Linked DNA regions of Tribolium castaneum. The protein of the gene in region 2 interacts with the protein of the main gene of each other region in a pairwise test. Links are inferred from orthologs where the notes say so. Each region holds a gene or a part of one and is shown on either strand. Other genes may lie near its edges. The genes, in order: Src64B, slo, Slip1 and cAMP-dependent protein kinase catalytic subunit 1.

Region 1 (3,566 bases), on a different chromosome or scaffold from region 2:
TTCTTGCCGGTCTGTCTTCAATGATCTCAGATCATTGTCACTTATCTTGAACATCATTATTTACTGATCAGTGATCAGTTTTATTACCACTATCATTACATAAATAATTGAAAACGTCTGCCAACTTAGCTAACTTAAAAAGCGGGACATTTTCACAAAACGAAATCAAAAAATACGCCAAAGTAACTGGTATTGCTAGGTCAAATTTGACTCAGAAGTTAAATACTGACGCAACCCAAATACTTACACTGTATCTGGAAGAATACATCGCGCCTAGAGAATACCTGGAGGGGGTTGAATTTATCAGGTCTAGACACCTACAGCGATTTGACAATTTGACTTAACTACGGAAAAACAAAACCAGTTGACAGTTAAACCGTATTCGCAGCGTTTTGAAAAATCTGAGACGAAGCGCAAATTTTAAATTTAAAACAACTTTTTTCCCACATTTCTCGTGAAAATTTTGGTCGTCACTTTTTCTCAGTCTATTAAGAATGCAAAGCACAACATTTCTGTATTTTTTCCAAGTAATTAGTGAATTGAATTGAATTTGAATTAATTTAAAACGATCTGGTACCGGGAGTAAAAATACTACTCTCCGTATTATATTTTTTGGGGTGCGATTTTGTACCTCGTTTCGTTCCCTACTCTAGTTTCAACTTACTGGTGTAAGCATTGACTAATTCGACTAAAGTGAGGAATGTTTTGTTGGTGGAAATGTAGAATCCGCCGTTATCAAGCGGCTTGATTTTGTAGTGTTTGACGTGGTATTCCCTGATCTCCTCCCAGTCTTTGACTGAGAGCGAATACCCGTTGGGATTATGCTCGGAAGGACGGACTAGGAAAGTTCCTCTTGGATTTTCCTCGGCGAGGAGAAGCTTCTCGGCTTCCTTTCGCGATACGTTTTCAAAAAACCAGCTAAAAGACAAAGGATGTGACAATTTCCCGTTGTGATAAGAGGAAAAACCGATACTAACTCTTCGCTTTCGACGCTCAATTCGGCCGCTACAAAATTTCCAGGGATGTAGCCCTGGACTTTGGTTATGAGATGTATCACATTTAGCCAATCGCCTTCGGAGTCATCGATGACTTCCATGCGATCGCCTTTCTTAAACGAGACATCGCTGCTGTCGCGGGCCTCGTAGTTGTAAAGGGCCACGACCACGCGGCCCTTTACGGAAAGAGGGGGCCGTGTGGGGGTCGGCCGACTCCTTATTATATCGACATGACTCCGCTGAGGGTCCGGTGTGTAGGGATTGTTGATTGTCAGTCGAGGTGGACCACCTGGAATTTTTTTTTCATTATTTTATGTAGGAGTTTTCGTGACTAGTAACATTTTGGGGCCGCCAAGGTCACCCGATCTGACACCGTTAGACAATAATGATTTACCCAACATGTTTGGAAAATACGAGGGAAAATATAATTTCCAACTTGAATAACTTGTTTGCAGCACGAGTGCAGTGAGTGCTCTTGGATGGACAGTTTTTGTGGCAATAAATTTACAAAGAAATTATAAATAATTATGGGTTGGTTTTTTTATATTATATTATTCGAAAATAAAATTAACTAGACGCCCTCTGGTGATGACTTTTGAACTATGTCGAAAACAGTAACGAAATTTTCGTAATTCCACATTTAATTGACGTCTAGTAAATTGTTTAACAATTTTGCGTGTATAGTGTTAATTGCTTACATTGGAGAGAATCACTTTAAAAGTACGTGGTGGTAAATACTAGCTTTGACTTTGGTTCTGCGGTTTTTCGTGGTGTAAAGTGTTTATTGTTGGAATTTGAAAATGAATAAAAAGTGAAAAAGATTTAAATTTTCATTACAAAGTGTTATCAAACAATTGTCTAATTAAAGACTATAGTAATGGATCACAGCGAACACAAAGTTGGGCTCAAGAAACCAATAAATTAGTGAATTTTAGGTTAGAATTTTTCCACTGATAAAATCATGAAATACTTCGATAAATCAACAAAACTACAATTAAGATTAACAACTGCTAATACACTTAAACGTAAATTATGCCAAAAGGTAGGCTTCTCAATGTCTTTGTAATAATTTTCCAATAAAGAAAGTAAACCAAAAAGTCATTCATTATTCGTGTTTTCCTCGACATCTCCAATTTGTCAACATTCGTTTCTTCCACCAAAGATACAATAATCATTCCGCATAGGCAATGTAATAATTGTGAAGCCTCAAAATTCGTACAACGCTCAAAATATCCGAATAAACATTTTCCCGCCATTTATGGTTACTGTTTTCGACCTAGCTCAGTGGCGCCCTCAACGGTAACTTTACTTCCGAATATTATATTATATATTATATAGGAAATATTGGGAGAGTTGGGACACTGAATGTCAATTTTCGAAATTTTGGTTCATATACGTCGGTTGGAATGTGTAAAAAACAAATTGGGATAGAAATGAGTGGTGTTACACTTGAAATTTGGCGAAAAGTCAAATAAATTTGTCAAAAAACGTTTCCATTTTTCGTCGACTAACTGCGTTTAGAAATGGTTTAGATTGGCAGTCGTCGTCAATTCACTGTTTTTTTTATATAAACTCCAAATTTTAAAAGAGATTTCTTTGTAAATATAAGAATTTTACGTCTAAACTCTTCATCATAAACATTTTTTCCTTAACTTTAAGAAATGGTAATCATCGATGAAAGAGAGAGAAATTGAACCTTTCCTGCCAAGTTTTACGTTTATTATTAACAAGCATTTGGAAAAGTGGATTGACTAAATAATATTATGTACAAAATCTATGAGATTTTGGGAATTTGTCTATGCATTTACAAAATACGTAGGTACTTGAACCCAAAATTGGTTCTAATTTTTAGGAAAGTTGAACCTGTCACTGCTTGGCCGCCTTTAGCATCTACGTGAACTTTAGATTTTGTTTCAAATTATAAAGTTATTGGGAATTCACGATCTTGTTACGTTTTTCATACGAGAACACCTTCAATATCATTTTTTAGAAAATTTAAAAAGACGACAGGAAATATGAAGGGTTCTTGATGACCAATTTTTGGGACGTCTAACTAAAAATTGTGACTGAAAGAAAAGCATTTTTAGCATTGAAGTATGTTTTAAGTTATGTATTTAATATTAAAATAAATATTGAAAAATTTCAGAAATGTGAACATTAATATTAAGAGGTATTCAATTATTTTCTTTTTTTAAATAGTAATCCCAAAATTTCTACGTTTCCTACGTCCCTGGTTAAATTTGACGTAAAATTATGTCATTTTATGCATTTGACAAAAATTATAACCTTTTCGTCATAAACCTCTGACATAAGTAAGTAACAAAAAAAGGAAAGAAATATAGTGGCGGTCAGCTCGATTTGCGTGTGCGTCATCAATTTCATTTTTTCATTACCAACACAAAGCTATAAAAAATTATCAAAAACAATGCAAATTTAAACAGCTAAGGGCTATCTAAGGGTGGTATCCTTTAACATTAATTTACATGTGCACTTCGACAACACCGTCAAGTGTCACGAATTTGTCAAACTGACATTGACAGTAAATTATAGACGTCGTCGAAAGTGTTATCG
Region 2 (4,262 bases):
GACTGATGCAAGTTCTGGGTCATCTATATAATCGATAAAACTGCTGCAACTAATTTTGGAAGCTGAACGCCAATTAAAAAAAGTATTGTGCCTGCAATTACATGGGCAAATTAATAATTCGACAACATTCTAAAAACAAACCATTAACCCAGAAGCATATTTACATATGGGCTAAATGAGCAATAGCCCAGTGCAGCTTTAATAAATTGATCAAATTTTTAGTTATCGTCGCATTTTTTACTTCTTAAGTTCTTAATTGTTTGATTAATGAGTTTTAAGAAGTTTTTAGTTGTAGCTTTGTGACCTAAATGTCTTTGAAAAAAGTCAACGACAACATAATACTCGTTTTATACAAAAAAAGTCGTAAATATGTGTAGGTTTTTCGTAAAAAAAATTTTTTATTAATTTCAGGGTATTTTTTTAAAAGATATCCTAGAAAACCACAGATTTATTTGGTTTCATTACGAAGAATTTTTTCAGATTTTTAATTTAATTTTTAAAACTCTCTTGAATTTTGGAGAACTGAATTTGCTATTTCGTTCAAATAAAGTGATTGAAAAAATATAAAGATAAATATAAATAAAAATATAAAATATAAATATAAATATAAAGATGTATATTAAAACATCAATATCTAGCAGTTTATGCATTTAACAGTTCATTTAAAGTTTCACAAAAGAAGTGATACTTAAAATTTTAAAGGGTGATTTGTACAGTGCGTTCAAAAAGTCTTTAGATCAACTCTTGCTGTGAAATTTTGAAAAGTACAAATTAAATGCACAGTATTTTATTCAAACGACAAGTATTTTTGATCAGTAAAAATAATAAATGCACAGTAAAAATAACAAATGCACAGTAAAATAACAAATGCACAGTAAAAACAATAAATGCACAAAAAAAATAATAAATGCACAGTAAAAATAATAGATGCACAGTAAAAATAACAAATGCACAGTAAAATAACAAATGCACAGTAAAAATAATAAATGCACTGTTAAAATAATAAATGCACAGTAAAAATAACAATTGCATAGTAAGAATAATAAATGCACAGTAAAAATAATGAATGCACAATAAAAATAATAACTGCACAGTTAAAATAATATTTGCAGAGTAAAAATAACAAATGCATAGTAAAAATAACAATTGCACAGTAAAAATAATAAATGCACAGTAAAAATAATAAGTCCACAGTAAATATAGTAAATGCACAGTAAAAATAACAATTTCATAGTAAAAATAATAAATGCACAGTAAAAATAATAACTGTGCAGTAAAAATAATAAATGCACAGTAAAAATAATAGATGCAAAGTAAAAATAATAAATGCGCAGTAAATAATAGCATCTCAAAACTAGAGAGTGTAGAATTCGCCCCAGCCTGCAAGCTAGCTACTGGGCGTTTATTATTTAAACTGTACGAATTTTACTAAAATACTGAGCGTAGTTTACTTGTCATTTAAATTTTTTACTGTGCGAAAATTATTATTTTTTACTGATCAAAATCGAATTTATTACTGATCGCTTTATTACGACGCAATTTTGAACGTATTTTGATTACTTACGATTACTACGAACTTTAACAGCTTCAATAGAATAAAACGATAATCTATCAATCTAAATTCCACAGCAAGAGTTGATCTAAAGGCTTTTTGAACGCACCGTATTACAAAGTACGACAAAAATCTCTCTGTGTTAATAAAAATTGTTCATTTACGGGGTTTGTACATTTGTTCTTATTCTATAAATTAATCAATAAATGTTGTCTTAGGCAGGGGCGTCAATGGACCTAAATACGCCACTGCATGTTCCTATTCAAAAATGTTTGATTTCATGTTATTGATATTTTTGATTTGACAAGGTTTAGAATAGACTGGTAAATAATTGTCCTTTTTGTAGTCAATTCGTATCAAAATAACCTTTTTCACCTAAATTTTTTATAATGTTGGCAGAGACTTGCTGTATTTGTGTCATACATTGAGGTCATAATGATGCACGTCATTAGTTAGGAAGACGTAATTTACCATAATTTTGTTTGCTGCATGGAGCTTGAATTTATATAAACTGGAAATATGTCCTGGGATTAGCTGAATGAGTTCCATATGTAGGTATATGTTAGCAATGAATGCGCCATCTGGGTCAGACTGTCAAATATTTTCTTGCTCTTCACGACATTTAGTCAAAGTATCAGAATTTTCTTTCCATTATCGATTTTCGATCGAATCAATAAATCGTGTTAACCTTTCCCCAAAAAAGCCGTTGTAATTTGGTGATTTGCCCCCGGTGGGCGTAACTCCCCCATCTTGCGTCATGTCGGCAGACAGCTCGTCTCTTACCAATATCCTTCCGGTGGTGGTCTGTCCCGAAATGAGCTCTCCCGCCCAGTCCTTGGCCTCCGTCATGAAGGTCCCCTCGAACTCCTGCTTGCCCTGCCTGGCGGCCTTCTGCTCCTTCTGCTTCGGGTCATTGGGCCCGTACTGCACCTCCTTGCGGCAGCAGAGGAAGGCGAACAGCCGCCACACCAGCACGATGAGGAGGCCGGCCAGGAAGGTGAAGATGCTCGAAAGCAGGAAGCACCAGTATTTCCTTTCGTCGAGGCATGGGTCCGGGGTGGCGGTGCTGGAGATGGGCGGCTCGGTCGCCGCCTCTTCGCTCGTCATCCCGCGCTAGGCGGCATCCACTCGCGCCACCGTCGTCGTACACTCACCGAGGTGCTCGCATCCGCGACGGAGAGGAGACGTGCTGTCGACGGCGAGCAGCTCCGAGCGCAACTGACGCGACGCCGACGTCGCCCCGCTGCTATACAGGATCATGCGGGAATCAATACGAAGGACGCCCTGGCGGCGTGCGCCGAGACGACAACACAGAGGCGGCGCGCCGCAAACAACTGATCAACACAGACCTACAGCCACTTGACTTCGCGTGGACGCACGACATTTTTCTTCAAGTTTTTTTAACACAGGCTCACTTTACGCAGTGGCATACAGAGTGATTCGGATAAAATAAAGAGCCTGACGACCTGCCGATGCAATCAAAAAAACATATTTCATTTATGCCTTTGATCCAATTTAAATTAGGATTAGCAAGTTGAATCCAAGTTATCAACTTATGTCACTCCGACATTAGCGCAGAGAATGATCATTATTGCCATTCAATTTTCGAGGAATGATAGAGAAAGTAGAGAAGTCTTTTCGGTGTATAAACTACAATACAAGGCGGCCCCTAAGAACTGTCAAAACGATCCAAAAACATGTGTTCCTACTTTTATATATAGCGTGCTCAAAAACTGGCGCACCAACTCAATGGTGTGTGGTAGAGAACTGGTTACATATAAAGGTAAAAATAGTAAAAACATTCTTTGTATTAACGTTATTGATAAATAACGGATTTTAGATAAATGATATGTGGCAACGTTGTCTAACAGTCATAATCGCAATAGAATTTGAGCAACAATAAAAATAAATTATTTTTGAAACAGTTTCCTAGGAAATAATTCCCAGTGTTGGCACATCTACACATTGTGATTTTTTGGATGAATTTTATTTTTTTTAAATTAAAAAAACTGCCAAAATCTGATAGTAAATTTAAAAATAATTATTCATTGTTTTGTTACGGAACGATTACCTGGTATGAAACATAAAATCATAAAAAATAATGAAAACCAAAGAAATTAAACACAATAAGTTTGTAGCTCCAGATTTTTAAAATATGACTTTAGGAATTTTTTCAACATTTTTCCCATAATCTGCACTTGCTTCTCAATAACGTACCACTGAGTTGGTGCGCCAGTTTTTGAGCACTCTGTATATCCCAGAAAATCGACAACGGAGCAGTACCAAATAAAAAGCAAAATGATTAGGAATCAATTTCCCACAAATCTACAGATTTTCCATTTAGAATTGAATTCGTGTATTTTTGGGTATGCTGATCTGATAAAGTTTTGACTTGGGTGCCAAACGCAAGATCTACACAGATCGGAAAAACATACACCCACCATTCACGCACATCATTTGCATGCTAAAATTGATACCCGATACTAGCAATAGCAAGGAAAAAACAACCTTTAGAAAAATTTCTCTGAGAAAAAGATTTTTTAAATATTACCGCTTTAAAAATCTAGTTTGAAGTGCCAGATGAAGGCAGTACAATGGTTTCTGGTTGAAAATTGTTGTCGATTTTGAGATATGTGTAAAAGTATGATCTTATGGATTTTTGATCATTTTGACAGTTCTCAGGGATCGCCTTAAACATTGTTGGGCTTCA
Region 3 (4,295 bases), on a different chromosome or scaffold from region 2:
AGATAATTAATTCGGCCACCAAAACCAATTAACCACACATGCACTGCATGGGCATGGGATTTTCAAGTCAATCTTGACATTTGTATTTGGGGAAAATTTTTATTACGTCTAATTGGCAGCCAAAGTGGTTAAACTTTAGCAAAGGGATTCAAACCCTACTTTAATCAAATATTATACAGAAAGGGACCAAGTAAAAAGTTACACTCAACCTAATCAAAGCAAAAAATCAACTAAATCAAGGCTATACATTACACGACTAATGCCATTAATGTGATATGCAAAAGCTCCCTCTTAATGGTCATTCTTTTATTTCTCCACTTCTTTGTTTGGAGAGCTGACAAATTTTACGTATCAGGTTTCTCTCAACTACCTACATCCCGTATCAAGTTCGAATCAAAAATTAGTATTTTTTGGAGAAATACCCAAATTTTGAAAATCAGGAAATATCACAGTCGATGCTTAGAACAAATGTTATGACACCAATATCAATATAGTGATAAACAAAGCAAGTGTGTTTATGTACTCACAACTACGTAAACAGTAAAAGACAAACATGAGATAAATGACAAGATCTTTAATAAAATCTCTAAAACGGCTTGGAAATGAACACAGATAATGCTTGCAATTTTTATTTGTGCAACGATATAAATATTAGAGAGACAATATGAAAATTTAATAGTGCAGATTGCGAAAACGCGCAAAAATGCAAAGAATACGCAAATTGAAGCGGGTACAGCACTCTTATTAGTTGCTTGTAGAGAGCACGTTCACCCAATCTTGAAACAATAAACAATCGAAACTACCGTCTTGATCAAACATAACATTACCTATTGTGTAAAACAATATCAACAGGGTAAACTGCAATTTTACAGCGTTTATTTCATCCGATACTTCTGAGTAAACTACCGATAGTTGTAAAGATATTAGCGGTTGAAAAGGTGAAATATTTTCTACCTGACCAGTTCCATTTTTGAACAATAGCAGGTAATGAATAAATAAAACGGGTCAAAACAGACGGGTAAGGTTAAGTAAGTTACTGCTGTAGCGCTTTTAAATTATTCTTGAGTTGTTTAAAAGACGAGACTAATTTTTAACAAAATTCATCAAGAGAAAAAGACAGTATGGAAATGAAGTGGCACTAATTGAGCTATAAAAATCTCAGTAGCAATGGCTAAAAAAGGTAATAACATCAACACCTATGATTACCATTTTTATTTTTATGTCTCAGTCAACACCTTATTACACGGAATTTTGACATTTATGTGCTGCAACAGTAATTTTACGATCGTTGTTTCCTTTTTAAAATTTTTTTCAAAAGGTAATCGATAACACATCGGTAACCATCAATCGGTAAATTCATCCCGAAATGAAACATTTTCAATGATTAAAACCCCATTAAACGCATATAGTTGTGGGTGGACTGAGTAGTATATTAATTTACGGCCTTTCAGTTGGGAGCAGCTTGGAATATTAACTGGCAAATGGCCTTTAAAAATCGACCAGGCCTTAGTGTGTCCATTAAAAATTTACCAGTTCTGTGGAAAATTAAATGAAACAAATATTGAAATTTCCAAACGAAACAATAGGGATAAACAAAAAAGACGACTAAGGCAACCGCAAGTAAGCGAATCAAGTCAGGAAGTTAGAAATGCATAAACTTGTCATCTTTAATCCGCATTCAAGTAATCAAAAGCATTCCGTGACATTTCACTCCGGGGATCCACCTGAATTTCCCACTCGAAAGGGAATCGAATCGAGGCCGACTAAAGTTTATTTGTTTGAAATCCTCCCACAAATCCTTGTCTCAATACTAGATCCCAACTTCTGTATTTTTAACGATATCGACTGACACTTCTGTAAAACTACCACGAAACTAAACCGCCCCCGCCGAACTTTACCTTATTAAAAGCGGCAAGTTTTTAAAACTCTGCCACAATGGCGCGTAATTAATCTCTGACTAATTGCGAGAATGAATCAATCATAAGTTTTAATCTCGGGCCAACCCCCAAAATTAATGTTTCCGACAATTCGCAAAATAAATGAAATAGATAAACCACGACAAACCCGATAAGCTTCGTTCAAAGTAAAGCACGATTTGGATTTTTGGTTATTCTAATAACAAGTCAAGGGTACCACTCAACTTACGTACTTCTAATTGCTTCAATTACAATTTTCGAAAGCACTAATTGCCGATTTCACATGTGCTTAATGACACTGCAGAACGCAATTAAGCAAATAAATGTCAATTAAAATACAGCTAACTGTACAATTTTGCCAACACATGTGATTAGTTACCGAAAAAATTCAAGTCAGTTTAATAATTCCTGATTGAAAGTGATTAAGTCAAGCGAGGGTCCTTTAATCCGCCTTTAATCACCGAAAGTCGGCAGGACTCGCTCCACACAGGTGGTGGTTTTGAAAAAAGCTGCCTTGGACTTGAGCTCGCTGAAGTTCTCGTGGTCGCAGAAACAATGCAAATGTGTGCGGACGGCGAAGTTTCACTTTTGATCATAGCCGGAGTGTCCTAAAGTTGCGGTGCTCTGGGGCACTTACCTTGAGTATGATAAAATCCATGTATGTTGCGTTCAATTGCAAGCACAAGTCGATCGCATCGGAACGAGAGGCACCGAGACAACGCGTGTGTTGGAGTCCGCAGAGTCGTCCGTGGAGAGCGAGCGCATTGCGAGCACTGAGGCCACTGAACGGCTGCAGCCACCAAAGCTGAGGCACGAATTCCAACTGAGTAACGCCGTGGTTGCGACTCCGTGCTGTACTTGTGCTGCAGTCTGCACCCCAGCGCCCCCCTGCTCTTCATCAGGAATACGCGTTCATTATCTTATATTGTTGATAGCTATGGCAAGGTTCAGGGGCTGCCCGGTCGCATTCCGGATGCCGCGACACGTTTAATTCAATTAGGACTCTTTCGGACCCGCGCCCGGACCTCAGAAGCAATTAACGCACACAATGCCTCACCACCAATCAACATATCAACACACCCAATTTCAAACGTTCGACACCGGGACCACCGGCACAAGCACAACAATAACTCAGACCCTTCACTTCCGAGGGAACTCCGAAATCAACAACACGCCAATAAAACCAACAACAACCGGACTATTGCCGGCGGGCACCTGGACAACTTGCACTTCGGACCCAGATCCCGAAATTAATTTATTGGGCTAAGTGTTTGAACACATAAAAACGTCAAATCTGATGGATTCTGGACGATGTGGGTGTCCACCAAGTGCACTTCAGATCCACATTTTTTCCGGAAATTGCATAACATGCTGTTCTACATGGCTTGCGATTAATTAGATACCGTATATCTCACTTCAGTTGATTATATTTCCACGCCACTTTGTAATGCCATTTTCCACTTTAAAGATTTGGTAGCGGTTGCAAGTTGTCTTTGTGGTGTAATACACAGTGATAATTACTGCAATCTGCACCACTTTGACAAAAAATCTGGATTCAGTACAAAGTTTCTGAAATGGTAACGTCACAGCATCCTGATGACCACTTAATACCTAAGTATTGCTTATCGAAACCGAATGGTAAATACCCTTGATAGCTGTTAATTGTCAGGGCTTAATCGAAACGATGGACGCTCAGGATGGTTATGACAGTAAAAGTAATTATACGTCTAAATCGACTTAAAATTCAATTGTTCCCACTGTGATGTTTAATTAGTTGCCTTGCTAAGCGATTCTCAATATAACCACCATGGAAATGGCGGAATTAGAAGAACATATTTTCGCTCAAATCGTTGGTTTTCGCGTATTATGGTCTGTTCTATACTTTGCATGATTAAAGAATGATGAATGAATTTTTGTTGCATTCTTTCTTTGTCATATCGACCGACAGTCACAACATGCTTTGAATTATAATAAATAGACTAAGCCCGGCTGAATTCAGACCAAAAACTTTCTAGGAGAGTGTTTTTGCACTATACTTTTTACTCCTTCCGTAAAGAATATCGGGACGAGAGCGAGTTAGATAAACATTTCGGGAAACGAATCTATAGTTACGCTAGAAGAATTTTTTTGATTTATTTCGGATGGTGTATATAAAATTTCGAGTTGATTATATTTGTTTAACTAGTCGAAGACATCTGCTCACTTGAATAGACTGGAGTTGTTTGGTGTTGATTTATTGATGTGAAGTGTGAAAAATAATGTACGTACCGTTCTTGGGAGGTAACACTGACAAAAACTACAGTTTAAATTTGTCCGAATTAAGTGGGTCACAGAAGGTCACAATGTCTTCTCCGAGAAGTCAGTGAAGACTGCCGATAG
Region 4 (4,058 bases), on a different chromosome or scaffold from region 2:
TCCTGTGTCTTCAAATTGTTGACGATTCTTTGAACTTTAAATTTCATAAATAACATTTCACAAAAAGTCCAAAGACACTTTCCATAGGCGAATATTGTTTCCTTTTACAACAACACAGAAATTTCTGCCAGTGTTGTTTGTTTTTAAAGTAATTTCACCAAATTAAAACAATTTTACTTTTTTGACAGCACACACACTTTTGATACAGTGGGACACAAAATGCCGCATGATTATTCAAATATTTTGAAAATTTGGATTTAGTTTTTAACAACAAAATCAATTTTTTTTTCTTGGATCAACCGAGCGATTTGGTTAATTTTTTGTGGAGCCATCTATTTTTCGGGGTTTAATAATCCAATACTAATTCAGCTTAATTTTAAATAAAAGAAATGTGTTTTAAAATTACATTTCTTAACTTATGTCATTTTTTGCCCCTAATGGAAAAAACACCTCCTAAAATATGTGCATTCTAAATTTCATAAAAATCTGTTGACAAATAACTGATATATTAAGCTCGAAAGTCTTAGCTGAGACACTCTGTATATATCTAAGGAAAAAGTCAATAATACAAGTTATGGACTATTTTCGGCTCGTTGGAACAGCCTGAATGTGAAGAATGAAGAAAATACCAAATCCAATATTGTTAGAGGCTCTGAACCCGTCAGGTCCACACCATACATTTATTAACTAACACATAACTATTTTATTTATTTACTTAGAATTTTGGTATTGCCAGTACCTTCTTAACTTTATATTAAATTCAACTTAACTTTATATTTTATAGAAGCGTCATTAAGTTAATCTGCAATTAAATGCATCACGTGACCAAATTGAACAAATTTGATTGGTCTATTCGCGTTGTTAACTTTTAAAAACGAATTAAATTAAAGCTTTCTATAAACCGGCCCAAAGTAGTTTTCTGAAATATAGTTTTTTTTTATATAATCACTTGTCAGTGTCAAAATTCTGATAAAGACCAGACTATTTCATCCTAAAAGTTCATGTCCACCCACTTTTGAAACTGGCTGTATTCTGTATTTGACATTTTGAACACCAGATTTGGCATTTTTGAAAATTAGATGTTAGTGTTAATCGTTAATTCGTTAGTCTAAAAGTGGTCTAAAATAACTAAATGTGTTGTTGTACGCGTTTTAAATTGGAGACAATTTGAAAAATTTGGAAATTGAATGTGCCAGGTAAAAAATTACACCAACCTTAATTCAAAAAAATTACTCTATTTATGATAATGCCAACCTGACGGTTCTTAGATAGTTGATTATAAACAAAAACGACGATATGATTGTACATGCGATCATTTCAATTTATAGTTAGATTAGGCGGTTTTTATCTTTGTAATTAATAAATTAGTGCAACATGAAAGAAAAAATGTATTCCAATTGAATATTACTATTCGAAATTTTATTATTTGACTTTCAGCTTGATTAATTATGATAATCAGCGTTTTCAAAGCCTACTCTAATCATAAATTCAATGAGATCGAAAATAAACTGAATTAGAGCAGGTCATGCTGCGGAATTTTAGCCAAATGTCAAAAAATGAGAGACTATGATTTTTCAAAAACTGATTCCTTGCTTCATCTAAATTATACCAAAATGGTGTTTAAAAGCCTACATCGTAGAATGCTATTTTAATAACAAGTGAAAAAAAAGAGACTGACAGAAATCTTCAATTGGCAGAATTTCGGTTATTTGCTAACATAAAAACAGTATTTCTGGACATCTTCTTAATCTTATCTACTGTCTTTTGCAACACGATGTTTTGAAAAGAAGTGTGGCTAAAAATGCACTTCCCTTGGCTTGCTTTAATTCAGTAAATTTTCGATCTCATGGCATAAGAAACAATTTCAGAACACCAAAGGGCCTAAAGAGCTTGACCTTCCCCACATGTAGACTTGTGTTAGAATTTTTTCACTCGTCAAATAAAGCGTCCGATTTCCACTCAAAATAAATAACTATCATTTGTTTATTTACCCCTGCGAGTCGATGAGAAGATTCTCCGGTTTCAGATCCCTGTAGATCAGATCTAGATAGTGCAAGTATTCGAAAGCGAGCACAATTTGGGCAGCATAAAACCTCGAATGTGGCTCAGAGAAGCGTCCGACTTTCCTCAAATGCGAAAACATCTCTCCTCCAGGCACATACTCCAACACCATGTACAAGTTCGAATTGTCTTTGAAGTGAAACCGCAGACTGACTAGGAACGGGAAACTGATCGCCTGCAGGATGCGCTTCTCGTTGAGGGTGTGCTCCACCTGCTTCAACTTGACCACCTTTTGCTTATCGAGGATTTTCATCGCATAGTACTCTTTCGTGGGTTTGTGTTGGACGATCATTACACGTCCGAATGAACCCGTACCTAGGGTTTTAATGCGCTCGAAGTCGTCCAAACAGGCGGTGTTTGTCGGATTCTTCTTCCACTTCTCCTCGAAGTCCTCCTTGGCCTGGTCGAGGAACTCCTTCACGCTTTCGGCGGAGTCGACCTTTTTGTTCGCCGTTGCGGCATTGTTGCCCATGGTTTGGACTTGGACACCTTCCAGGGCTTCGATTGATTTCTAACACCGCCTGAAGCACCAAGGATGAGCTCGGAGCGGATGTCGCGTTTGGTTTGTGTCAACACAACGATCCGTACACACGCATTATTGAGTTTATCTCGCACGATTGAGGCACAGACACTGATTAAAACGGGCAACACAAATTCAAAATACACGCCGAAAAACCAACGAGCTAACGATAAAATGGCTACCAAGTGCCCAGATTTTCACTTCATTTGGGGATTGAAGCGAAGACACTCGCTCGCAAGTCAATTACACGGTTTAATGGGGAGATAAGAGAGGACGCCACCGAACGGATGGTAATGCTTGGGGAAAGCGGACAACAAGCGAAATACAAGCAATGCGCGAGATTTAAATCAAGTTTAAACATTTTTATTTTAATCATCGTAAAACAGGTTAGGTAACACTTGTCAGTGTCAATGAACTGTCAAATGTGACACGACTGTGACAGTGCCTACTTGAAAAATAATTCGTAACAATACATTATTAATTTTATTCATAAATTAATACTATTACGACGAATTCTAAACGTAATATGTGCAAAATTCATCAACATTCATTACTAATCACATAGGTACTCAATATTCAAAACTCTTAATTAATTTTTTTTAATTTTTTAAATATTAGAAATGTGTATAATTGGTTGCGTCCACAGTTCAAAATATCAAAGAATATTAAAAAAAGATTGCTGTTTGGAAAGTTTGTCCTTAATAAAACTGAGAGTACATTAATTAAACCGTAACGCAAACGTCTCATTTTAGTTTCAGGATGTTTTACTATAATTTAATCAATACTGTATTTTTTGAAATATTTTTTTGATTTCTACAAGATTAATTGCGATGTATTTTTCAAAATTTGAAAAAATTAATAGCTAAAATAATGAATAGTTGCAATAAGAGATCTAATTCTTAATAACTAGGGTTCGGAAAATATGCATTAAAAAAAACCTAAAATATGCACCATAAATATGCTATATTGCTGTCATACAATTTAAAAAAAAAGTAAGTCTTTCTTACATTATACATAATTTTTAATTACAAAAGCCATAAAAATAATAAGTACAAATCTCCAATAAGTTATATACAACATATCTGTATTTTTTGCAGTTACACACATTTTTTTGTCACAATTCTGTTACATAATTTTTTATTTATTAACTATTAGCGTTGTAATTGTATATTGTAACATATTTTTCTAAGTTTTCTAGAATAAAACTTTGTCTCCTATCTGTTAAAATTAGTTTGTAGAAAAAAAGGACCTCATTGAAGCAAATTGAAATTAATTTAGAAAATGAGTTTTATTCTTTTTGTCGTTGAACTTTGTTAATTTGGGTTAGAAATGCAAATTGTAACTAAATAATTATTGTACATTTTCAAAAAATAGAAAAAATTAAATGTATTGCAAGAAAATAATTTTTTGCTGCAACCTGCGATTGTCGTTTTGTGAGACACTACTAAAGAATTTGCTTTCATATTCAAAAACCAAA

The links.
Region 1: the proteins of slo (region 2) and Src64B interact in binary tests that used the Drosophila melanogaster proteins (3 or more experiments, as listed by UniProt). The link is inferred for Tribolium castaneum from reciprocal best matches to the Drosophila melanogaster genes slo and Src64B.
Region 3: the proteins of slo (region 2) and Slip1 interact in binary tests that used the Drosophila melanogaster proteins (3 or more experiments, as listed by UniProt). The link is inferred for Tribolium castaneum from reciprocal best matches to the Drosophila melanogaster genes slo and Slip1.
Region 4: the proteins of slo (region 2) and cAMP-dependent protein kinase catalytic subunit 1 interact in binary tests that used the Drosophila melanogaster proteins (3 or more experiments, as listed by UniProt). The link is inferred for Tribolium castaneum from reciprocal best matches to the Drosophila melanogaster genes slo and Pka-C1.

What each region holds. Positions count from the first base shown.
Region 1 is NC_087394.1:24,284,882-24,288,447, forward strand, and holds part of Src64B (tyrosine-protein kinase Src64B), read right to left. Parts: intron 1,285-3,566; coding exon 978-1,284; intron 919-977; coding exon 665-918; intron 1-664. UniProt on the Drosophila melanogaster protein: Tyrosine-protein kinase that may play a role in the development of neural tissue and smooth muscle. May contribute to tyrosine phosphorylation of Dscam1, a cell surface receptor involved in targeting of growing axons during eye morphogenesis.
Region 2 is NC_087400.1:8,504,266-8,508,527, reverse strand, and holds the start of slo (calcium-activated potassium channel slowpoke), read right to left. Parts: upstream 2,857-4,262; 5' UTR 2,660-2,856; coding exon 2,336-2,659; intron 1-2,335. UniProt on the Drosophila melanogaster protein: Potassium channel activated by both membrane depolarization or increase in cytosolic Ca(2+) that mediates export of K(+). Its activation dampens the excitatory events that elevate the cytosolic Ca(2+) concentration and/or depolarize the cell membrane.
Region 3 is NC_087403.1:3,146,449-3,150,743, reverse strand, and holds the start of Slip1 (E3 ubiquitin-protein ligase PDZRN3-B), read right to left. Parts: upstream 2,803-4,295; 5' UTR 2,575-2,802; coding exon 2,554-2,574; intron 1-2,553. UniProt on the Drosophila melanogaster protein: May selectively reduce calcium-activated potassium channel (Slo) currents by reducing the number of Slo channels in the plasma membrane.
Region 4 is NC_087397.1:21,579,345-21,583,402, reverse strand, and holds the start of cAMP-dependent protein kinase catalytic subunit 1, read right to left. Parts: upstream 2,863-4,058; 5' UTR 2,534-2,862; coding exon 1,992-2,533; intron 1-1,991. UniProt on the Drosophila melanogaster protein: Serine/threonine-protein kinase involved in memory formation. Promotes long-term memory by phosphorylating meng and by regulating CrebB protein stability and activity.